3 linked regions of the Elephas maximus indicus genome follow. The protein of the gene in region 3 interacts with the protein of the main gene of each other region in a biochemical or structural test. Links are inferred from orthologs where the notes say so. Each region holds a gene or a part of one and is shown on either strand. Other genes may lie near its edges. The genes, in order: PELI1, IRAK4 and IRAK1.

What was found.
Region 1: of the proteins of IRAK1 (region 3) and PELI1, one has a biochemical effect on the other in vitro, tested with the Homo sapiens proteins (5 studies listed by BioGRID and IntAct, with this or other methods). The link is inferred for Elephas maximus indicus from reciprocal best matches to the Homo sapiens genes IRAK1 and PELI1.
Region 2: of the proteins of IRAK1 (region 3) and IRAK4, one has a biochemical effect on the other in vitro, tested with the Homo sapiens proteins (2 studies listed by BioGRID). The link is inferred for Elephas maximus indicus from reciprocal best matches to the Homo sapiens genes IRAK1 and IRAK4.

The regions. Positions count from the first base shown.
Region 1 is NC_064835.1:72,710,643-72,718,627, forward strand, and holds the start of PELI1 (E3 ubiquitin-protein ligase pellino homolog 1), read left to right. Parts: upstream 1-4,968; 5' UTR 4,969-5,309; intron 5,310-7,985. UniProt on the Homo sapiens protein: E3 ubiquitin ligase catalyzing the covalent attachment of ubiquitin moieties onto substrate proteins. Involved in the TLR and IL-1 signaling pathways via interaction with the complex containing IRAK kinases and TRAF6.
Region 2 is NC_064822.1:98,441,672-98,449,290, reverse strand, and holds the start of IRAK4 (interleukin-1 receptor-associated kinase 4), read right to left. Parts: upstream 3,022-7,619; 5' UTR 2,933-3,021; intron 2,586-2,932; exon of another isoform or gene 2,462-2,585; intron 1-2,461. Other genes in the region: pseudouridylate synthase PUS7L, read left to right, coding at 6,485-7,397.
Region 3 is NC_064846.1:2,291,406-2,299,163, forward strand, and holds the start of IRAK1 (interleukin-1 receptor-associated kinase 1), read left to right. Parts: upstream 1-4,723; 5' UTR 4,724-4,821; coding exon 4,822-4,957; intron 4,958-5,041; coding exon 5,042-5,209; intron 5,210-5,333; coding exon 5,334-5,471; intron 5,472-5,544; coding exon 5,545-5,639; intron 5,640-5,802; coding exon 5,803-5,991; intron 5,992-6,138; coding exon 6,139-6,203; intron 6,204-6,326; coding exon 6,327-6,441; intron 6,442-7,758.

The sequences.
Region 1 (7,985 bases), on a different chromosome or scaffold from region 3:
GAATTGACTCGATGGGAATGGGTTTGGGTTTTGTGCGTGTGTGTGTATCTAGTAATTTTTGGTTAGGTGAAACACGTGCAAAATTTAGTCTTGTTAAATGGCTGATTTTGTTTCGTTCCTTTAAAAAGTTTTATAATTTTCCTGGTAGGAAAACAAATTACTTTTGGATTAGTTTGATCCATTCAAGGCTTGTTTTTAAGCTCCTTTATGGTGGATCTAGAGGAGTAGCCTTCATCCTAGGGCTAATTTTGTCTCATATGTAAATCTTAGTCTCTTCTATATATGCCCTATAAGCATGCTCCATATAGTCAGTGAAGTCTCATCACTCCGTCTGGAGGAAACACGAACGATTCCCAGACCCATGTGGGCTCCCTTGTAATTGTTCTTTCCTCAAAGTTATTTTTGTCCAGCCTCATGGTGTGTGATTGATTCTCCACATGTACAAGCTGTGCAGATTTCTACAACTATCTCTCTGCTTAGCTCACTCCTCTCTGGAAATCTGACCTGCATGTTCTAACCACCTTGATTTCCCTGAACTCTCATCTCTATCTCCTCAACTCAGCAAGATTTAGGGGTTCAAATTCCCCCTCCCTGCACTATAGTCTGGAAATTGCTCCTGACAGAATGCCTGGGTGATATTAGGATTCACCTCATTCTTCCCTCTCTTATCAGGGATCACAGTCCTGTATTGCCTGTTGCCTAATGTCTAAAAATGGTTGTTTCCTGAATTTTGTCCATTTTTCTAATTGTTTATGGTGGGTTGGTGATTTCAGATTCTGTTGCTCTCTCATGTCTGGTTGTGGAAGTCACTACATATTTTTTAGTCATGTATATTTAAATAACTAACAAGCTATACTTCGGCACAAATATGAGTCTGCCTTCTGACCCTACCCGAAAAGATTCTCACTGAAGCCAGTAGTTACCACCTTAGTTACTACACCACGGGGAAGTGATGAGGGAGAGGCTTGGACACCCAGGGAAACAAGGTGGTATTCAGAGGGGCTAAAAAAAAAAAAATTTTTTTTTTTTTTTTTTTTTAGGGCAGCTATTTATCAACAAGGCTTCATATGGAAGTCTTTAACTATGTTTTACAATGAGTGTGGTCACACCGATGTGAAAGAGTGGAATATCAGCTATTTCCCAGGCATTTTCATGATCTTCTTGCTTATTCCTTAAGTGCTGGTGTTTCCCAGGGTGCTAGTATTGGCTCCTCCTTTTCTGCTGTGCATACTGTCTAGTGACCTCATCCGTTCCTATAATTTCAACTACCATGTGTATGGTGTTAGTTTTTCAATAATATCCTCTGTCCAGATCTCTCTCCAGAGCCGTAGAGTAAAATACATATATATATAGAGAGAGAGAGAGAGTGCCCTGGTGGCACAGTGGTTAAGACTTATGGCTGCTAACCCAAAGGTCAGAAGTTCGAATCCACCAACCACTCCGTGGAAACCCGATAGGTAAGTTCTACTCTGTTCTACAGTGTCACTATGAGTTGGAATCAACTCAACAGCAACAGGTTTCGGTTTTTTGGTTTTCATACACACACACACCCACCCACACACACACATACATACAACTGCCTGCTCCATTTCTCCACCTAGATGCTCCAGAGTCATCTCAAACTCAACCTATATGACGTGAACTCATTAAATTCCCACTGAAAATCTGTTCCTTCTCCTGTATTCTATAACTCAGTGAATCACCATGTCATAATCATACAAGCCACTTCTTTGTCTGGGTAATCACCTCAGTTTTTATTCGGATATCGCCTCCTCATCACAGCCCATGTGCTTTGTGGGAATCTGACTTCTTTGGCTCCAGGGGCAAGGCATATATTTAGTCCTAAGATAATTAGTTTAATACCACTTTTTTTAGTTTATAGACATGTAGCTCAATTCTTGAGACTTATGGAAAGGAGTTGTCTTTACAAAATGACTTGTAGAAGTGACTTTGTTTTATAGTTTCTTCCTGGACCTAGATGAGGAGACATAGCCAGAGGAGTTGTTAGCAGCCATCATATGACCATAAAGTTATTACTAAGGAAAGAAATACACTTATTCCTCAATAATCGGCCATCTCATTATCCAACATTTTGCATTTACAAGAAGTAAAAAGTAAACTATTTGACTATTTTGTACATTAATGACATATGTCTGGCAGTAATGAATGCCAAGGTACAAGGTCAGAGTAACTCCGACTATGATGGTTAAAGTTATGCATTGACTTGGCAGGACGATGTTTCTGAGTGGTTTGGCAGTTACGTAATGATGTGATTTGGCAGTTATGTAATGATGTAATTTGGCAGTTATGTAACGATGTAGTCATCCTTCATTTTGTGATCTGATGTGGTCATCACACCAATTGTCACACAACAACCTGCTCTTTGGAACCTAACCATGCAGATAAGTGAGCAGTGGCTGTACCATGAGACACAGAAGAAACTTGTCCTTCATGACATCACTGAGTTATTGAATCAACTTACCTTGTAGCCTGTCTTTTCACTGGACTTTCTAGTAAGATGGGGCAATAAATATTTTTTACTAGTTAAGTCAGTTTAGAGTTGGGTTTTCTGCTGCTTGCAAACAAAAGCATCAAAGCTGGTAGCTTTTCCTCGCCCTCCATCCCCAAACGCAGGCAATAACTCACTCTAGTCCAGTGCAGTTGCCATTGAGTTGATTCCGGCTCATGGTGACCTCACATGTGTCAGAGTAGAACTACGCTCCATACGGCTTTCAATGACTGATTTTTCAGAAGTAGATCACCAGGCCTTTCTTCTAAGGTATTCCTGGGTAGACTTGAACATCTAACATTTTGGTTAGCAGCTGAGCATGTTAACTGTTTGCACCACCTAGGGACTCCAATTACTTACCAACCAAAACAAATACACTTACTCCTCATTTATCGACTATCTCATTATCCAACATTTTACATTTACAACAAGTAAAAAATCAACTATCCGACTATTTTGTGCCTTAATGACAAATGTCTGGCAGTTCCTTCCCATCAGGTTGATTCAGACTGACAGTGACCCTATAGAACAGAGTAGAACTGCCCCACAGAGTTACCAGATGTAAATCTTTACAGAAGCAGATTATCCCATCTTTTTCCTGTGGGGTGACTCTTGGGTTTGAAACACTGACCTTTCATTTAGCAGCCCAGTGCTTTAACCACTGTGCCACCAGGGCTCCTGAGTTACTTACTGTTGTTGTTAAGTGTCATCGAGTCAGTTCCAACTCGTAGCGACCCTTTGTAAAACAAAAGGAAACACTGCCCAGTCCTGCATCAACCTCATAATTGTTGCTATGCTTGAACTCATCATTGCAGCCATTGTGTCAATCCATCTCCTGTGGGTTTTCCTCTCTTTCACGGACCCTCTACTTTACCAAGCGTGATGTCCTTCTTCAGGAACTGGTCCCTCCTGATAACATGTCCAAAGTACATGAGATGAAGTCTCTCTATCCTCACTTCTAAGGAGTATTCTGGCTGTACTTCTTCCAAGATATATTTGTCCATTCTTCTGACAGTTCATGGTACATTCAGTATTTTTGCCAACACCATAATTCAAAGGCATCAATTCTTCTTCCGTCTTTCTTATTCATTATTCAGCTTTTGCATGCATATGAGGCAATTGAAAATATCATAGCTTGAGTCAGGCACACCTTAGTCCTCAAGGTGACATCTTTCCTTTTAACACTTTAAAGAGGTCTTTTGCAGCAAATTTGTCCCATGCAATATGTTTTCTGATTTCTTGACTGCTGCTTCCATGGGCGTTGATTGTGAATCCAAGTAAAACAAAATCCTTGACGACATCAATATTTTCTCTGTTTATCATGTTGCTCGTTGGTCCAGTTGTGAGGATTTTTGTTTTCTTTGTGTTGAGGTGTAATCCATACTGAAGGCTATAGTCTTTGATCTTCATCAGTGAGTGCATCTATTACTGACAGTGTTGTACTTCAGGATAGATCTTGAAATGTTCTTTTGATGATGAATGTGACACCATTCCTCTTCAATTTGCCATTCCTGGCATGGTAGACCACCACCCTCCTCCACTGCCTATTCATAGCTGGGTGCCCAGTATGGGCACACTTAGCTGACTAGCCCAGCAACATACTCATACCTTGGTTCAGACTTCTATTGTCCAATAAAAGTCTGCCATAAAGCCAATTTTCAATGTTCCATTCATCTTTTGAATTTATAGCTACTTTATGAAAATTGTATTTCTTAAAAATTGTAGGCCTTAAAATGAACAAATTTGGATTATTTTACACTACTCAAGTAAAATATAGCGATCTTAGCCTTAACTTTACCTTTGCTGACCTTAAAGTTAGATGTGACTAATTGTGTTAAGAAATTAATATGGGATTCTGATAATGGTGATGTGTCTAACAGTTTTACAACGTAATTGTTAAATTTATTGGATACAACTACATTTCTACACGTTTGAGGTAAAGAAAGTTAAATTTAAGATAGAGGGAATTTGGTTGAGGGAAGCCAGGGAAAGGGACATTTGTGCTTTAGGATTTCTGTAAGAAAATTCAGCAGCAGGGAAGACCGAAATACCACGAGGAAGTTAGATTTCATTGGGCACTTGGGAGCGGTGAGGTTAGGAGTTGAGGGTGGAGCAAAGCAGGAAGGAGCAGCCAAGAGCGGGATCCCCAACAGCACAATAATACAAGACCCGGCCTTGTTCAGCCAACAGCAGCACTGAATATAATCTCTTTCGTTAGTGTGTCGGTCACCATGGTAACGGTGGGGCGTGGGCAAGTCTCTTCCCCATGAGCATGCGCAGTGCAAAGCGAGCCCCGGAAGGGTCCCCAAAAGCAACGTGCGTATCCCTTTTTTCTTCAACCGGAGAACTACAACTCCCAGGAGCCCTCTCGGCGCGGCGGGAACGCCTACCGCAGAGGCCCTGCCCTGTCCCCCTCCCTCGCCCCGCCCACCCACTTGTCCCCTCCCCTCCCTCCGAGTGTGTGTCAGTGACCCAGAGGCGGTGCGAGGCGGAGGGGACCGTCGGGGGGCGCCGCCGCCGCCGCCTCCACCAGCAGCACCAGCCCTGCCGCGCGACTGGATTTGTCTCCAGCCCTCCGGGAGCGCGCCACAAAGCGGGCCCCGCGCCTCTCCCTCCGCCCGCGGCTTCTCAGCGCTCGGCTCCGCGGTCAACTTCTCCTCGCTGGGCTTGGCCGGCTGGCGAGGAAGGCGGCGGCGGCGGAACGCCGGGCTGTCTCCTGGCGCTCTCCGCACACACAATTCTCCCGCGCTCTCTGGGTCTCGGGGGCCGTGCCGGCATTCTGGCCACCAACAGTCGTCCGGTGAGCGTGGCGGCGGCCACGGTGTGCCGCGGGAGGGCTCGCAGCGGGGCGGGCGAGGGGTGCGGGGGAGGCGGGCGCGCAACTTCCTCGGCGGCTTCGCGGAGCGGCCGCCCGGCTCTCGCCCGCCCGCGCGTCCCCGCGCCGGGGGCGGCCGTGCGCGGAGTTTGCGGCGCCTCCATCCCGCGCCCTCGAGGAGGAAGCGCCTTTGTCAGGAGCGGGCCCGGCGCGCCCTCCCCCACCGGCGGGAGCGGCGCGCGCGGCCAAGCCCGAGTCCCCGCGCCCCTCGCGCGCCGGGGACCCTCCGACCACGCTCCTGTCCCGGAGGGGAGCTGTGCGGCCGGCGTGGAGGAAAAGAGAAATGAAAGGGAAACAAAGGGGGCGACGGGTTTTTCTTTTGTTGGTGCGAATCTGGTAACTTCTTTCTCCTTCCTTACATAACGCAGACTCCCAACTTAGTCATTCTTTTTATTGTTATGATTATTGTCATCATCCCTGCGTGGCCCTCGCATCTCCTTTCATCTTGGCATCTCAGCATTTTAAAAACACTAATTAATTACACCTCCGGGGCCCCTGCGAAGCAAGTTAATGAGCCCGTTTCTGTAGGTGGGTAAACTGAGGTTCGGGAGAGCTCTGTAATTGATGGATACCCTTGATCTTCTTCCGCGCTGGTGTCTGAGGACCTGAAAGCGTTTATGAGTCAGAGTTCGTTCTCCAGTGCCCTGTGGAGAAGTTAAAGATGCTCATTTTATTTACATGTGAACTGAAGCCTAAAAGAAGCCTGGGTAATTGTTAGGTAGTTCAGACAACAGTTTTTCTTACATAGTGGTTTCAATCTTAAAACCTCAAACTTATTGAAAAAAATGCTCCGAGTTGGAAAAATACCGTAAATCATAAACTCGCCATCTACTTTAATTTTTCTGTGTGCGAGTCACGAGGCAGGAGAGCAGTGATGGAAAGAGGGACATATTTTTAAATGTACGTTTAACAGATTTTGATCACTACACACTGGGAAATGTATCTTGCTTTTAACAGCACCAACAACCTTCCCGTAGTTTGGTCATCAAATTGGATATCAATAAATATTATCGAACGCCTTACAGTAATGTCCTGGTTGTGTCAAGGACTGAAGCTGTAAGCATTAGAAAAGGACTTCTGTTTGTTCTGGTTCAAAGACTTTACTTTTTTCTTGCTCTGCAAAATGTTACTTGGGTTTATAGCAGCCGATCTTTTGTTTCAGAACTGGCATTGTCTTTTTCTACATTGAATATGTATTACTTTTCTAATGCAGGAGAAATGCTGGGTTTTTATTTAATACAGTTTGCATGGTAATGTGAGTTTAAATTTTTGAATTGTGAAGAAGATTCGATTTCTCCAGTTTTTCTGTTTAAGCTCGTGATATGTTTTGTTTATACCTTACAGAGAAGATGTGATCCGGTTTACATCTCTCAAAACGTTGTTCTTATTGGACAGATACAGCATAGAAATTCCTCATGGTTTTTATTCACACCAACAATCTCTCTGGACTAAAATACTTAACTCTGTGGACAAGCTTGTCTTGGTAGTTGAGCAAAACTGAAAGGTACCAGAAATTAAAATCTAGCATCTTTTCTCCTCGTTATTTCTTGCGGTAAATGATGATCAGAATGGTCGTAACCCGGGGTGCTTTATCCATTTATCTTTAATTCTTCTTGAATTTAATTTTGTATAGTTGCCCCCAGATTTTAGATTCTGGTGTTGGCATCAGAAAATAAAACCTGTGTTATTTTGATGTTTGTCCCCATGCCTTTAACCTGTCCCTTTTCTCTAGTGTCTTAAAAGAGATCTTGAGTTTAAAACGAACAATTGGAAAATTGAACAGTTAAAGTGTATGGAAAGTTGCATGTAGTGAAGTGGTTATAATGTCTCATCTAATAAATTTACAGCTTTTAAAGAGGAAACCTTCGCGTAGGTTTTAATTAGCAAGGTAGAAGTGTTGTAACGTAATAGTATTTATTGACTTGAAAAAAGTGAGCTGTAGGTTGTGCCTTAGTGGCAGATTGTGTGTGTGTTTGTATGTGTGTGTGAGAGAGAGAGATGATCTGTGCTCTTGTTAACAGTTAAGTGATTTTACTATTGGTTATGTTTAACTTTTTTTGTAGCACTCACAAACCAGATTTACCAGGAGTATTTGTATTTTAAGGAAGCTGCTAACACAGTGTCTTTGCTCAGTCACTTGAGTCCAAAGGCTGGATTTAGTGTTGACTGGCTAAGTCTGGCATGGCTGGTTTACTCATTTCTTTGGGACCCCTTAAAGGAAATGACTGAAAAGTACAGGGTGGGAAACTGGGTCTAGTACTGCTGAGGCAGATTTAAAGGGGAAGCATAAGTTTGTTTCTACTTGACATCATTCACCTTCTTTTCAGGTTGTCATAATGTCACTTTGCTATTAAGACTTCTGGAATAGGCTTTGCTGTGGTTGTCCAGTAAGTCAGGTGATAAGGACTATAGTAGTTCTGCTTTGTGAAAACTTAGTATTTTTAGACAGAAGTTTCTGTAGTTGATATTTTAAGCCAAAAGACTTGGATTGAAAACGATCTATCATACTCACATGTATCCCTCTTACCCTGGCATATCAATATAGATTTATTTTAGTTTTAATTGAGTCAGAAAAGCTTATATGGATTACTTCATGCAGTT
Region 2 (7,619 bases), on a different chromosome or scaffold from region 3:
ACAGAAATAACTCTGTGACTATTTCGTTATATCATTAATTCTCATAGTATAGAAAAATCATTCATATTTTCAACTAAGACAACTCAGACAAGCGCACATGGTGATGTGGCAATTGAGGAATATACTAAAATCAGCATCTGCTTCTACAACCCAGGGGGCTCTCATTAAATGAATTAATAAAGTTTTATGACTATGCTTCATTACTACTCGATCAGAAGGCCGGAGTGTAGAGGGGAGGAGAGAAGATGGACTTCGAGGGTGCGTGAGTTTGGGTTCTAATCTCAGCTCTTCCACAAACCAACTGTGACCAGGGTTAATAACTCAAATTTCTCCAGACCCTGGTTTCTTTAGCTGAAAAACAGAGATAGTAATATTTAACTCAAGAGTTGCCATAAGATTTAAGATCAACAAATGAAAAAGACCTAAACATAGCATACAATAGATGATCAAAAAAATACATATATTAAAAAAAAATTTGTTGACGTTGGGTTGATTCCGACTTGTAGCAACCTTATAGGACAGAGTAGAAGTGCCTCGTGGGGCTTCTTTCAAGGCTGTAAATCTTTACAGAAGCGGACTGCCACATGTTTCTCCTGCAGAGTGGCTGGTGGGTTCGAATTACCAACCTTTTGGTTAACAGCCAAGCACTTAACCACTGCTCCACCAGATATCTTTAAAAAAGGAAAATATCAGTACTTTTAAGACATGTATAACCTTTCTAAAACACATTCTTTACTTCCATGCCTTTGTAAGCAAAATATACCAGATAAATAACCTTTATTTTCAGACAACTGAACGCATCATTATGAACAAAAGCTGGTGATGCCTTCCGGACCTATTAAATTATACAGGGCTGTCCTTAAACATATATTCATAAATTATAACACATCTTTCTCGAACATGATCTAACTCAACGGTAAATGCTTTAAAACACTCTGGGTATATTAAACGTAAAATATCATTCATTCATTAAATATTTACTGTTTTGTGCCAGACATTGTTCCAGGCCCCAGAGATTAATAGGCAAGTCAGATCAAAAATACCTGAACTTGTGGAGCTTATATTCTAATTGCAGAAGACAGACAAAAAACAAATAATATCTAAAATACATTTATGGGCGTAGCGGAGTTCAGTGGTAGAATTCTCCCTCCCACACAGGAAATCTGGGTACAATTCCTGCAATGCTCCTCAAGCCCAGCCACCATCTGTTTGTCAGTGGCTGTTTGCGTGCTGCTATGATGCTGAATAGGTTTCAGCAGAGCTTCCAGACTAAGAGGGACTAGGAAGAAACGACCATCTCCTCTGTAAATGAGCCAATGAAAACTCTGTGGATCACAACAGTCTGGTCCGTTGTGCACAGGGTCGACAAGAGTCGGGGGCTGACTTGAGGACAGCTAACAATGGCAACAATAATATGTTTGATGGTACCAAGGGCAGTGGAAAAAAATAAACAGAGACCAGACTGTAATTTTAAATAAGGTGGTCAGAGTAGGCCTCAATAAGAAGGTGCCATTTGATCAATGGTTTGGAGGAAGCAAGAAAGCCAGCCTGTGAGATATCTGTGAGAAAAGTGTCCTGGGCAAAAGGAATAATAAATGCAAAGGCCCAAGTGGGCCCTTTGAGAAACAGCAAGAAGACAATAAGACTGAAGGGGAGGGAGCAAGAGGGTAGCAGATGTGGTTAGTAAGGTAAGGGGACCAGGTACCCAGATCTCATTTTTATTGACTTTGGTTTATCCTCTGAGTGAGATGAGAAGACAGATGAGGTTTTGAGAAGAAGCAAGACATCCACTATAATCATGTCTTAAAAGACACTGGGGCTGCTGCTGAAATTAAGTTATATTGGATTAAAGGCAGAGGAGCAGGGAGAGATCAATTCAACTACACCAACAATCCAGGTGGGAGATGCTGGAGGTTGGGCTAGGGTAGTAGAAGAGAAGGCACAAGTCCTTGGAGGATGAGTCTATTCTGAGGTAGAGCCAAAGAATCCTATGTGCTGATGTGGAGGGTGAGAGGACAGTACCAAGGTTTTTGGCCTGAACAACAGCTTCCTGCCATTTACTGAGATGGAGAAGAGACTAGAAGGTCTAAGTTTTGCCTGGAAGATCAGGAGCTCTGTTTAGACAGGTGGAAAGCAAAATCAAACGTTTACCATCAAAAAAGGAGAATAAAACAATTTCTAACTTTCTGTCAGTCTTCTTCAAGGATTATCCCTTTTTTTTTTTTTATCCCTAGAGAGGGGAAAAGCAGAATTTAATATCCTCTACTGTTTTTTTTTTTTTTACTGTTAGGGACTCCTTGGGCACTGGGCATATAGCATTTTGAGGCACTAATAGCGCTATTCTCATTCCAAATTGGCTGATGTGCTTGCTAGCTTTTTCAACGTTTGTTTTTTATCCCTTTGTCTCCTCTCTTGCTTCCACGCCGTCAGGTACACTTTTCGTATGTGATAATGTACTTACCTGTTTCTTACAACTCTTCACTCTCTAATGTCCTGGAAGCTTAGAAACTGGAGGAAACAAGCTAATCAGAATCGTGTGGAGCCTCTGAATGCCTCCCATCTCGGCCGCGTGCTGAGCTTACTTCCTGGTTTTTAGGAGACAAGATTTCATTTTGTAAACGGGTTCAGGGAACAAAAAGCCACAGAGTTGAGAAAGTTGAGGCGAGATTAGACGGCGCCACTGAACAGCTGGGTGACGGCTCTCTCGATGCCTCAGCTTCCTCCCAGTCAGACTAACTTGTGGATCTCCAGGGACTCACTCCAAATCTCGACGCCGGAGGTGATTCATGCAACCACTTCCTCTCTAAACTTTTCTCACTTTGAATATAAGGCATAAAGCGATCTGCAGCCCGAAACAGCCACCCTACTAAGCCTGGAGCAGAGGAGGACAACCTCCGGGTAGCAGGAAGAGCGGACAGCGGCAATCCCTTACCTGCCCGGGGCGTGGGGCACTGCGCGGGGGCGGGGCGCCTCGCGGCGAAGCCAGCGGCGGAGCAACCCGAGCAGCGGGAAGCAGCGAAGCGAGGACAGCACTTCCCGTCAGGCCCCGCCCCGGGCTCCGCCTGCTCCAGGCCCCGCTTCTTCCTCTCTGCGCCGTCAGGCCGCTCCACGAAGAACGTTTGGTTAAGGCGCTTCTTCACGTGGGAGCCTGCCCCTTTAAATACTCTCCCGGAGGACGGTAAATAGATGAGGCTTCCGGGCATGCGCACAGGGTTGTGCGGGGACTTACCTTCGCCTGGATGCGAGGTAGACCGGGTGTTGCGCGTTGCTTCTTCCACGGTGTGGGGATTGTGTTTGGGACGATGATAAAGCTTGTATTGGTTATCCCGATCCTTTGCCCCCCAGACGAAGGCGACGTGGGGCAGTGACACACCGAGGGGTGGGGACGGTTGAAGAAGCAAGTGGAGCTACTGGTAAAAAAAAAAAAAAAAAAAGTGTGTTAATACCTCAGGGAAGAGTGAGACGGCGACACAGGCTTTAGTTCTGCTTCTCTGGGAACCCGTTCGGCAGATATTGCACAGTTGGAAAGGAAGAGCATGGGGAAAAGGGAGCTCTCTCTCTCATTTCTACTACTTTTTCAGGATCCCTCCTCAAACTAGTAGTTCTCCAACTTTGGCTAAACCAAACTAAATCCACCTCTACACCCCAAATCCTCATCTGCAAACCCTGTTGCTTAGGAGTCTTGCACATTTATACTTAACTCCACGTGGGCTCCTTGGCTGCCCTCCAGTTCGGTTCCAAACCCTTTTTAAGGTTTTCCAAACTCTCACCTCCAAACCTGTCTCACATTTCTGCCACACTTCGGTTTCTGCATTTGTCCGCTCTTGTCCCAAGATGCTCGCTTGGTTGGTATTCCCTTGTTGTTGCCTTCCCACCCCTCCCGCCCTCCACCTTGCTCTACTTACCCCTCTAGTTTAAAATGTCTTCATAGGGAAAGAGATCATTGTTTCCACGGCCAGTTTCTGCAGCTCTACTCTTGATCACATCGCTGTTTCATCAGATGCATACTGATCAGTACCATCAGAGTCATTTTACTAAATCATCTTTTGGATTATGTCGTTCTAAGACATCTGCAGTTGCCATCTATTGGTCACCCAGTGGATTCTAAGTCCTTGGCAGGGCATTAGGTGTCTTCCATAGTCTGACGCTAATCTAGCTGTATTTTCCAGAACTGTACTAGAAAAGCCCCCCCCCCCCAATCTGGGATGTTTATTTTTCTCTAACACATTGCATCTTTTGTACATTATTTGATGATATTCTCTCTGCCTCATTTCTATATCTCGAACCCTTTTTAGGCCACACTTACTTAGATGACCACTTCTTGTGTTATACCTTTCCTTATTATCACAGGCAAAAGTGAGCCATTCTTTCCTCCTCTTTACTCTTACAGCTCATATTTTGTACTAGTGGCGTCATTCAACAGTCAATATGTTGAATTGTGTGCCTAATATGTGCTTGACACTGTTCTAAATGTGGGGTAATCAGTGATAAATAAGACAGACATCACAGAACTAACATTTTATTGAAACAATGTAAATGACAAAGAAAATATTAAATAAAAAAGCTATAAAGACAGTTAAAATAAGGCTTCGTGAAGAGAGTGTGCTAGTTTCTTTAGATTACTCGTCAGGGAAGACCCCTCTGAGGATCTGATTACTAAAAGGTGCAGCTATATAATTGGAGAAGGGACAATTTCAGCTGCAGAAACAGTTAGTTTAAAGGAACTGAAGAAGGCCAGTATAGCTGGAGTGTAATGGATAATGGGGAAAGGGTACAAGATGCTTTTGGAGAATAGACAGGGTCCAGAATCATAGTCTTTGAAAACCAGGGTAGGGAATTTGTATTTTATTAATACATGTGAATGGAGTGTTTTAAGCAGGGTTCTGATATGATTTAATTTACCTTTAAAAGTACCATTCTGGCTGTTTTGTGGAGCATGGACTAGAGTGAGTCAGTAGTAGAAGCAGTGATTAGAGACCTTCACAATGTCTAAGATTTTCCGGAAGGGACGTATTAAGTAGGGCTGATGGAAAGATAGCAGGGGTGATCAGAGAACTAGATACTTAAAGTGCAAGTTTTGTAGGTTGCAGTTTATGGAAATGAGAAGGTGTGACCACGGAAGGGGGTGACAGATGAAATTGACTTGGGAGATTGAGGAACTGAGGGACAATGATATTGAATGAAAGATGGATGTGGATGATCATGGAAGTCGTGCTGGATGTGAAGATAGTAAGCCAGGTGTTAAAGTCATCAGTGAATGAAGAGTAGTCCTCGGGATTAGAGTGAAGATGACAGCAGATGGTAAAGCCTGATGGCATGAACTTCAGAGGCACTGGGAAGTTTGAAAGTAGAGGAGGAAGAAATAGTTTGGAAGGAGCAGTGGGAAATGGAAAATATTTATGACCTCCAGACCTAAGGCACGTGGCGTGTGAAAGGAAAAATAGCCTTTGCTTGAGAGGACTGCAGAAGTAGTAGTCTGGGGAAACAGCCGGGTTTCAATTAGAGCAAGACACTGAAGGGGATGCAGGAATTAAGGAATTAAGTAAATATCCTTGTATATTCCCTGGGAAATTAGGATATAGAAAATTTGCTGTAATTTCTACATGGCACAATGGAAAGAATTGAGAAGAGGAGGCTGGTAAATTGTTTCGGATTAGTAGAATATGTTGTATAAATGGGGGTGAAGGCCCTGATGATGATAAATTTCCTAGAATGTGTGGGTTTGTGATGATCTGACTGGTATGGGGTCTCTGGGAAACTGACCTTTATCATAGCTCCATGTGGTATGGTAGCCGTGGGTTGTTTGATGAGTGAGTAGTCTTCCTCAGAGGACTATTCTTTTGTGTACTGCTCCCACAAAGCTCTATAAGGGTCTCCTTTTCTCTGATGGCAAAGATAATGATGGTTGGAAATCTCCTTGGGATCAACTTCAAAAGTTCGTGTCTGTCCTAATGGGGGCTTTAGAGAAGGCTTAAGGCCCGGGACTAAATTAAGTCCTATTTCTTTCTATCTTCTTCTTGTCTCCTGTCCCTGCACCCTTAGCATATGAAACTCTAGTCCTAAGTTCTCTGAAATTAATGAAATTTTCAACTCTACGGATGGGGTTTGGACAAATCATTGTAAACAGTCCTATGTTCTAGTCTATTTTTTGTGGTCCTACAAATACTATTTGTAAGGTAAGCTTGAAACTGACCCATTTAAAATCCAGGTAATAGATGGAAGTCTGGGGTAGATGAAGAGTCAAGTTTTAAGTTATATTAGAAAATGTTTGCCTATTCATTCATCTTGGTGTATGAGAGTCAAAGAACACATGGTATATATTCATGAATTAATAATTCTATTTAAGAGAACTCAGGATTGAAAGGGACAAAGAGAATTAAATAAATCCAGCAAACCTGTTCCTTTTTTTGTTTTGTTTTCCACAACTTCTCTTTCTGGTAACTGACTGCCTCTTTGTTTCTTTTGTAGACATTATTATGTAAGAATGGAAGAGGATACAGATTATAGAAACAGGTTCAGTTCTTTGTGTTATATTACTGATCATGCTGGATTTCGTGGCACTATAAAAAGCTCACCAAGGGACTTCGTTGTTACTGAGATTGATGAGCGGGGACAGTTAGTTAATAAAGCCAGTGATGAACCTCTGTACGAGATTAATAACATACTACCTGAGCCAAATAATTATGCCAAAAAACCAAAACTAGACCTTCACAATTTATCCTTTGAAGGTGGGCGTAACCAAGAACTTGGTACTTTAGCTAGGTGTTCCGATGGTGACCAAAATCATCAGTCTAGTTCAGAAAATGAAGATATGATCAATAATGGAGCTTCCAAATGTGAAGAAGAAAAAGCTGATATATTAGGCTCCTTATTAGATGAAAAAACTAATGAATTACTGAATCAGTTTGCTTGTGATGTAAAAGAGACGTGGAATTCTAAAATTGAGCTAGTGGGACCATCTCCTGAATTCTCGTTAGGCAGAATCCTTGACAAAAACCAGCGGGCCAGTTTACATAGTGCTGTTCGGCAGAAATTTCCTTATTTAATAACTGTAGGAAAAAACAGCGAAATTGTTGTAAAACCAAATCTTGAGTATAAAGAACTCTGTCACTTGGTGTCTGATGAAGAAGCATTTGACTTTTTTAAGTATTTGGATGCAAAGAAAGAAAATTCCAAATTTACCTTTAAACCGGATGCAAACAAAGACCACAGAAAAGCTGTCCATCATTTTGTCAACAAGAAGTTTGGAAGCCTCGTGGAAACCAAATCCTTTTCAGAACTGAATCACAGTGCTGATAATCCAAATGTAGTGATAACAGTAAAGTTTCGGGAAAAAGCACACAAGCACAGGAAAAGGTCTCATCTTGAATGCCAGGAAAGAAAAGTCATATATACAGGTAATTTAATAAATCATTGTTTTCTTGGATAAGCTTAAAATTGTATGAAAGTTGAATAATTTTAAATGAATTGAACAGACCTGGCCAAAGGGATATTTGAAAATAATATGAGTCTGTCTTTTAATGGAAGATAAAATCTTTCATATTATACTAAGTGTAAAAAATAGCCTTACTGATGAAAGTATGGTTAAAAAAGAGAGGTATGGTTAACACAGTTACAAA
Region 3 (7,758 bases):
TAAATTGCATTTGCTTTTGTAATTCTTAATGAGCAATATCTGCTAGAGAGTTTAGCTGTAACGGTTCTTTTTGATCCTTTTTTAATTAAAAACACCAAAAAAAAAAAAAAAACTAGAAACTTGTTCTTCCAAAGCAGAGAGCATTATAATCACCAGGGCCAAAAGCTTCCATCCCTGCGCCATTGCTGCTTCTGAGGCCCGCGTTCACAAGAGGAATGGGTCTCTGGCCCTTTGGGTGGCTGGGCTGCCCTCAGGACCCTCGAGAGAAAGCTGGGTGGGAGGTACTCACCCTGAAGCTGGTGTTCAGTATTAGCAGTGGGCCGGGTGGGGGAGAGTCGGCCAGGAGACCACTGGCGCTGATGTCCTGCCACTCCCAGGTGGGTGTCCCCATGTGTAAATGCACGTGATTTCTGACCAGAAGTGAAGGCAATGCCGGAGTTAGCCCGCGTGGGCTGCTAGCCCTGCCGGCCGGTGAGGCCCCCTGTTCAGTGCTTCTGTGGAGGACGATGGGTGCAGAAAGGGTCACAGAACTTGAAGCCTGCTCCTTCCCTTGCTACCAAGGCCGCCTTTTTCTGTTTGAGTTTATTCCTGCTTCAATCAATAACAGCCGCTCCAGAGTCAGTAGTTGATGAATATATGACCAAATATGACCAGGACTGTTACTAACTACGTGCCGGCCCGAGTATCCGGACACTGTAGCGCGTGCTGTGTTTGCGCTCCTTTCTCCTTCCTGCCCTGCCCTTGCCTTGTCTTTCTGGGGGGTTTCTGTTTGGGTTTGGTTTGGATTTGATTTTTCCTTTTGTGTTCCAAACATGAGACACTCTCTACTGGTCCTCTTAACTGTGGTGTTGAGGCTTATATTTGTGTAGTTTTTGGTGGGTGAAAGGAACTTTGCTAAGTAAATCTCTTACGTGTTTGAACTGAAGTCTGTATTGTAACCATGTTTAAAGTAATTGTTCCAGAGACACCATTTCTTTACAAATGAACAAAAATTGGAGGGAGGAGGCCGGTGACTGAAATGAGAGGGGCTACCTCTTCCCCCGTTCCGGGGAAATCTGAAGAGATGGCCCCCTGCCCAGGTCAGCCACAACCCCCCCAAAAGACAAAAAGACAAAAGAGAGTCCGGTTCTGGCTGACACGTGGCCATCCTCTAAGAGCAAAACCCCTTTCATACCACCCAGTGGATTCTTTTGGCTTCACCCCACCCCCACCCCAAGATTACTCACATCAGAGTTATTTTTAAGGAAAGACAAGGTGGCATTTGCGAGGGTAGCCAGGAGAGGACTGGATGTGTGCAGCTGCCTTCGCTTAAGTGGGGAGGGAGGGTGGATGGCCTAAGTGGTGGGGCCGGGAGGTCCTCGGAGGGGTCTGGCCCAGCTGGCGCTGGGAGGTGAGTGCTCCCCGCCAGAAGCAGCTCCTCCTGAACAGGCCTGGCGTTTGGATGATCCTCTCCAAGGCGGGTCCCGCGGAAGTTACCATTAAAGACACAGCATCCCCTCCCACCCCATTCATATGCACAACACCAATGTGATGTCCCAGGGCAGTAAGTTGACTTGGGAGGGGGCTCTCTGATCCCTGGCAAAATGTGGCATTGAGAAACCCCCTTCCCTTCCCTCAGAGAAGCTGTCACCCAGCATTAGACATTGTTTGGGGTTCATGGGACACATCTCTGCTCCGTGTCCGGCAGCCCTCCTTGGAAAGGCCAGGGACAGTGCCGGTCGTGGTGGCCACTTGCACGGGGAGGGAGGGGCAGTAGCTACAAAAACCAGGTGGGGGAGGGCTGCCCTCCGGAGGCGCAGTTACACTCCCTGTCCCAGCCTGGAGGCCAGTGACACGGGCCACCCAGCCCGGAAGCCTGTCCGAGGATGGGGGAAGTGTGGAGGGTAGGGAGAGCCTGGGGCAGACTCAGCCTTGATGGCATTAACCTTCGGGTTTTGTGTTTCGGGACAATTACTTTAGAAAATAAGTAGGTCGTTTTAAAAACAAAAAAAATATTGATTGCTTTTTTGTAGTGTTAAAAAAAAAAAAGGGTTCTTTGTGTATAGCCAAATGACTGAAAGCACTGATATATTTAAAAACAAAAGGCAATTTATTAAGGAAATTTGTACCATTTCAGTAAACCTGTCTGAATGTACCTGTATACGTTGAAAAACACCCCCACGGAATCCCTGTAACCTATTTATTATATAAAGAGTTTGCCTTATAAATTTACATAAAAATGTCCGTTTGTGTCTTTTGTTGTAAAACCCAGTGATTTTTCATAAGGTTCTTTTACTATTCGAAAAGATGGGCAGCACGCAGTTTTATTTTATTTTTGTAAGGTTTTTAATACATGTGAAGCAAAGAATACTCAGCATGCCTTTCTAAGTGACGCGTTTGCACCTTTTGTTGGGAAGTACTGTATCCTGTGCTGTTAGCATTCTCGATAAATCTCTCTGTGAAAGTGACTCAAGGTCTGGGCTTTCATTGTCAGAAGTCCCCCTCCCAGGTCACACGGGTTTCCTGACCGTCTCTGGCTTGCCCTTGCCACAGATGGACGGGGTTGAGGCCTGGCAGAGCAGAAAGAAGGGATGCGCTCTTCGTCTGCGGAGGCCACCTCTTTGGGGTGCTCCAAGTCCTGAGGACAATGGGGAACCCCAGAAGGGCCGGCCAGGTCTGCCCTGCCTCCATCTCTTCCAGTCCTTCTAATCACAGCACAGGGACTGGGGGCGGGAGGGTCTGCGTGTCCCTGCCAGGGGCGGGGAGCATCTGGGTGCTTTTGGACCCCTTCTCCCAGCTCTGGCTCTTCCTGTCTCGAACGTCAGTTGTGACCTCTGCATTGGCCTTGGCTGCCTGATGACCAGGCCGCTTGACCCAGCAAGGGCATGCTGACAGATTGCCCTAAGGGGGCCCTGTGGGCCACAAGAGCCTGGTTCCCCAGGAGCGGAAGGGGTTTATAGGCCTGTCCCCCCATCCTCTCTGGTTCCCAGTCAGGGTATGGGCTCTCGGTAGCTGTTTGCCCTGGCTCCAGACTGAGGACGCTGCAGATGCTGGACGCACACGTACTGGAAGGTACACTCAAGTCCTGGCCCTGAATGGAAACTGAAAGGGAGGGGGACAAGATCCCACTCGTAGGCATCTGGACTGTTCTAGGAGCTGACAGCCTGCATGAGCAAGGAGGCCCCAGGCCCTGCTCCCCTGAAGCTTAGCATGTGTGTGGTCATCTCAGATGGTAGGGTGTGTCTCAGGAAGGGCTGTCTCCTGAGAAGTCCTGTGGAAGAAGCTCAGTGGGGATAGATTTCAGGCCCTGTGGGAGGATCTGGCTTCTGGAAGCAGCCCTAAGTCCCTGGGAACACAAGCTGGGGATGCTCCTTTGGGGTCAGGATTGAGAGGGGCCAGGAAGCTGGCGGAGAAGACTTATTGGCAGCTGGAGAAGCCAACTGAAGAAGGAACAGTCCTGCTCCTGGGGACTCCCCGTCTAGTGGGGTGGTGGCCCTGTGGTGAGCAGGATGCACAAGAAGTAAAAGGTGCCGGGTGGACTGCAGTCAGCTCTGTCTGCCGAGGGACCGGAAAAGGTTCGCCACAGCTGTTGGACAAGGAGAATGTTCCAGGCCAATCCAGTGGCATGTGCAAACTCCAGGACACAGAAAACCCTGCATGTACATTTTTGGAACCCTGCAGAGTTCTGAATTGCTTAAGGCTGCTGCTCTGTGGAGAGAGTTAGAAATGAGAGGATGGGCAGGGGCCACATCGTGACAGCCATGTGTGCTGCAAAAAGGAACTGGGACCCCATCAGAGGGCTCCAGGACCCCGGGAAGAGTGTAAGCAGGGAAGGTAATAAAGCAGGCGGGGGCCAGTGGGGAAGGGCTGAGCCCCAGAGATGATCAGGGGACGATGGGAAGATAGTGGCTGCTGAGGTGTGGGGTAGAGGAGTGGAGGGGTGGCCCAAGAATCCAAGGAAATCAGGGTGGAGAACATTTTGAGAGTGGGCAAGAGACACAAACGTGGCTAAAGAAGTCAAACTAGCTGAGCAGAGTTCGAGGTGGTGACTGGGGGAAGCCAGACCCTGCTGTCCTGCCCCAGGGGAAGTGAGAACTGCCTGAGAAGTGTGACAGCAAAACGGAGGAGAGACAGCAGGAGGTGAAGGTGATGCGGGGAGGCACCAAGATCGGTTTTTCGGTCAGAAGAGACTTAGGTGTATGTGCTCATTGGAGGGAGCCAGTAGAGAAGGAAAGTAGAGGAGCTAACACTTGGTGGAGCAGGTTTGAAGGAGAGAAGATGGAGCCAGGGCGCCCTCCCTGACTGGAGTCAGCCAAGGGGGGCCTTTGTGGAACACCTAACTGACCCTGTCCTGCCCAGAACTCTGATGACTAGCCACTGCCTACCACTTAAAGACCAAACATCTTAACGGGACCTCCAAATGGCTCTCTCATGGTCCGGCTGTAGCCACCTGGAAGCACTCTCCCATTCTGAAACATACTGTGCCTTCGCCGTGCCCTGTGCTTCTGGTGCCCGAAGCGCTCGTCCTCGTCCCTCAGCGCCCCACTTAGCAGGCCGCTCCTCTTGGAGGCCCGCCCGGTTGGGCGAGGTGCAGGTCCGACTTCCCGGGCTCGCGGGAGCAGGGGCTGCGGCCGGGCGCGGGCGCCCCCTTGTGGCCAAGGCTTGCGCGGCGGCGGCCGAGATGGCGGCGGGGCCCGGGCACCGCCCCTTCCGTCCCGCCGGGCGTCGCACGAGGCGACTTAAAGGGGAAGTGAGTCAGTGTCCGTCGACCCGGCCGGCCGAGGCCCGCGCCCGCCGAGGCCCCAGAGGCCCCGGCCCGGCGGCGGCGGCGCTAGGCGGGCCATGGCCGGGGGCCCGGGCCCGGGGGACCCCGCGGCCCCCGGCGCCCAGCACTTCTTGTACGAGGTGCCGCCCTGGGTCATGTGCCGCTTCTACAAGGTGATGGACGCCCTGGAGCCTGCCGACTGGTGCCAGTTCGGTGGGTGGCGGCGGACGCGGGCCGGGGCGGGGGGCGGGGGGTCCCCGGGTCGCCGCTGCCCGCCTGACGCCCCCTGCCCCGCAGCGGCCCTGATCGTACGCGACCAGACCGAGCTTCGGCTCTGCGAGCGCTCGGGACAGCGCACGGCCAGCGTCCTGTGGCCCTGGATCAATCGCAACGCCCGCGTGGCCGACCTCGTGCGCATCCTCACGCACCTGCAGCTCCTCCGCGCTCGGGACATCATCACGGCCTGTGAGTGCCCGCTGGCCGCCGGGGGCCGGGGGCCGGGGGTCGGGGGCCGGGGGCCGGGGGCCGGGGGCCGGGGGCCGAGGGCCGAGGCGCCACTCACCCTCTCCCTTTCCTCCGCCGTGCACAGGGCATCCTCCTGCCCCTCTCCCGCCCCCCACCGCCACCACCCCGCCCCTGGGGCCCAGCAGCATCTCTGTCCCCTCTGAGGCCAAGGCCAGGAGCCCCAGGAAGTCGCAGTCCTCAGCCTCCACCCTCCTCTCCCCAGGTAAGAGCCGGGGCTGCTGGACAAGATGGGTTTGGGGAAGAGGCACCTTGACCGTGGTCTCTCACTTTAACAGGTTCCCAGACCCATCCTGGGCCCCACCTCGGCCCCACCGCACACCCTGCCGTCCCCCGACCAGCACTGCCAACTCCAGCCCCTTGCTCCACCGAGGTGGGTGCCCCTTGCCTCAGGCAAGATTCCAGGCACAGAGGAAGAAAGCGGAGCCAGCAGCCAGCTGGGAGGCAGCTGGGGTGGATTTGGGGACCTGGCTGCCCAGGGCAGAGGGGAGGAGACCCAGACACAGGAGCCCACCTGCTGGGGTCTTGTCCCACAGCAGAGCCCAGAGAGCCCACTGGCTTTCCTGCAGGGGGCCCACCCTGCCCCGTTCTGCTGGCCCCTCCCTGAGATTGCCCAGGGCACCCGCAACTTCTCCGAGGAGCTCAAGATCGGTGAGGGTGGTTTTGGCTGCGTGTACCGGGCGGTGATGAGGAACACGGTGTATGCTGTGAAGAGGCTGAAGGAGGTGGGTGTGTCCTCCGGCGAAGGCGCCAGTTCAGGGTCCCAGGCTGCTGGGTTGCAGAAAGTCCGGGAAAGGTGGCAGTGGGAGTGGTGGGGTGGCCATGGTGAGCAGAGCCTCTCCCCTCCCCTCCCCTCCTCACCGGGGCTGCAGGACGCCGATCTGGAGTGGAACGCTGTGAAGCAGAGCTTCCTGACTGAGGTGGAGCAGCTGTCCCGGTGAGCTTCCCCCTACCAAAATGCTTCCAGGGCTGTGCCTGGCTCTCTGGGCCCCCGCCATGGCCAGGGGGAAAGTGTGGTGAAGCCTGAGGCGAGACACGTAGCCCTCCCTTTGTCAAGCAGGTTTCGTCACCCAAACATTGTGGACTTTGCCGGCTACTGTGCTCAGAGCGGCTTCTACTGCCTAGTCTACGGCTTCCTGCCCAATGGTTCCCTGGAAGACCGCCTCCACTTCCAGGTAGCCCCACCTGACCTGGCACAGGTCCCTGGGCCTGTGGCACACGGGGTCCTGGGGAGAACTGGGCATACAGCCTTGGGCTCAGTATTTGTGAACGAGTCTCACCAGTGGGCAGGGCCCGGGCTCCCGGCTCTCCCTGCAGCCCCTAGCTTAGGGCTCCTCCCGAGGTTGGGTGGCCATTTTCTATGGGTCTCTTTTTTTTTTTTTTTTTTATAATAACTTTTATTAAGCTTCAAGTGAACGTTTACAAATCCAATCAGTCTGTCACATATAAGTTTACATACATCTCACTCCCTACTCCCACTTACTCTCCCCGTCTTGAGTCAGCCCTTTCAGTCTCTCCTTTCTTGACAATTTTGCCGGCTTCCCTCTCTCTCTATCCTCCCATCCCCCCTCCAGACAAGAGTTGCCAACACAATCTCAAGTGTACACCTGATATAATTAGCTCACTCTTCATCAGCGTCTCTCTCCCACCCGCTGACCAGTCCCTTTCATGTCTGATGAGTTGTCTTCAGGGATGGTTCCTGTCCTGTGTCAACAGAAGGTCTGGAGAGCATGGCCGCTGGGATTCCTCCAGTCTCAGTCAGACCATTAAGTTTGGTCTTCTTATGAGAATTTGGGGTCTGCATCCCACTGCTCTCCTGCTCCCTCAGGGGTCCTCTGCTGAGCTCCCTGTCAGGGCAGTCATCGATTGTGGCCGGGCACCAACTAGTTCTTCTGGTCTCAGGATGATGTAGGTCTCTTGTTCATGTGGCCCTTTCTGTCTCTTGGGCTCCTAGTTGTCGCGTGACCTTGGTGTTCTTCATTTTCCTTTGCTCCAGGTGGGTTGAGACCAATTGCTGCATCTTAGATGGCTGCTTGTTAGCATTTAAGACCCCAGACGCCACATTTCAAAGTGGGATGCAGAATGATTTCATAATAGAATTATTTTGCCAATTGACTTAGAAGTCCCCGCAAACCATGTTCCCCAGACCCCCGCGCTTGCTCCGCTGAGCTTTGAAGCATTCATTTTATCCCGGAAACTTCTTTGCTTTTGGTCCAGTCCAATTGAGCTGACCTTCCATGTATTGAGTGTTGTCTTTCCCTTCACCTAAAGCAGTTCTTATCTACTGATTAATCAATAAAAAAAACCCTCTCCCACCCTCCCTCCCTCCCCCCCCGTAACCACAAAAGTATGTGTTCTTCTCAGGTTTACTATTTCTCAAGATCTTATAATAGTGGTCTTATACAGTATTTGTCCTTTTGCCTCTGACTCATTTCGCTCAGCATAATGCCTTCCAGGTTCCTCCATGTTATGAAATGTTTCAGAGATTCGTC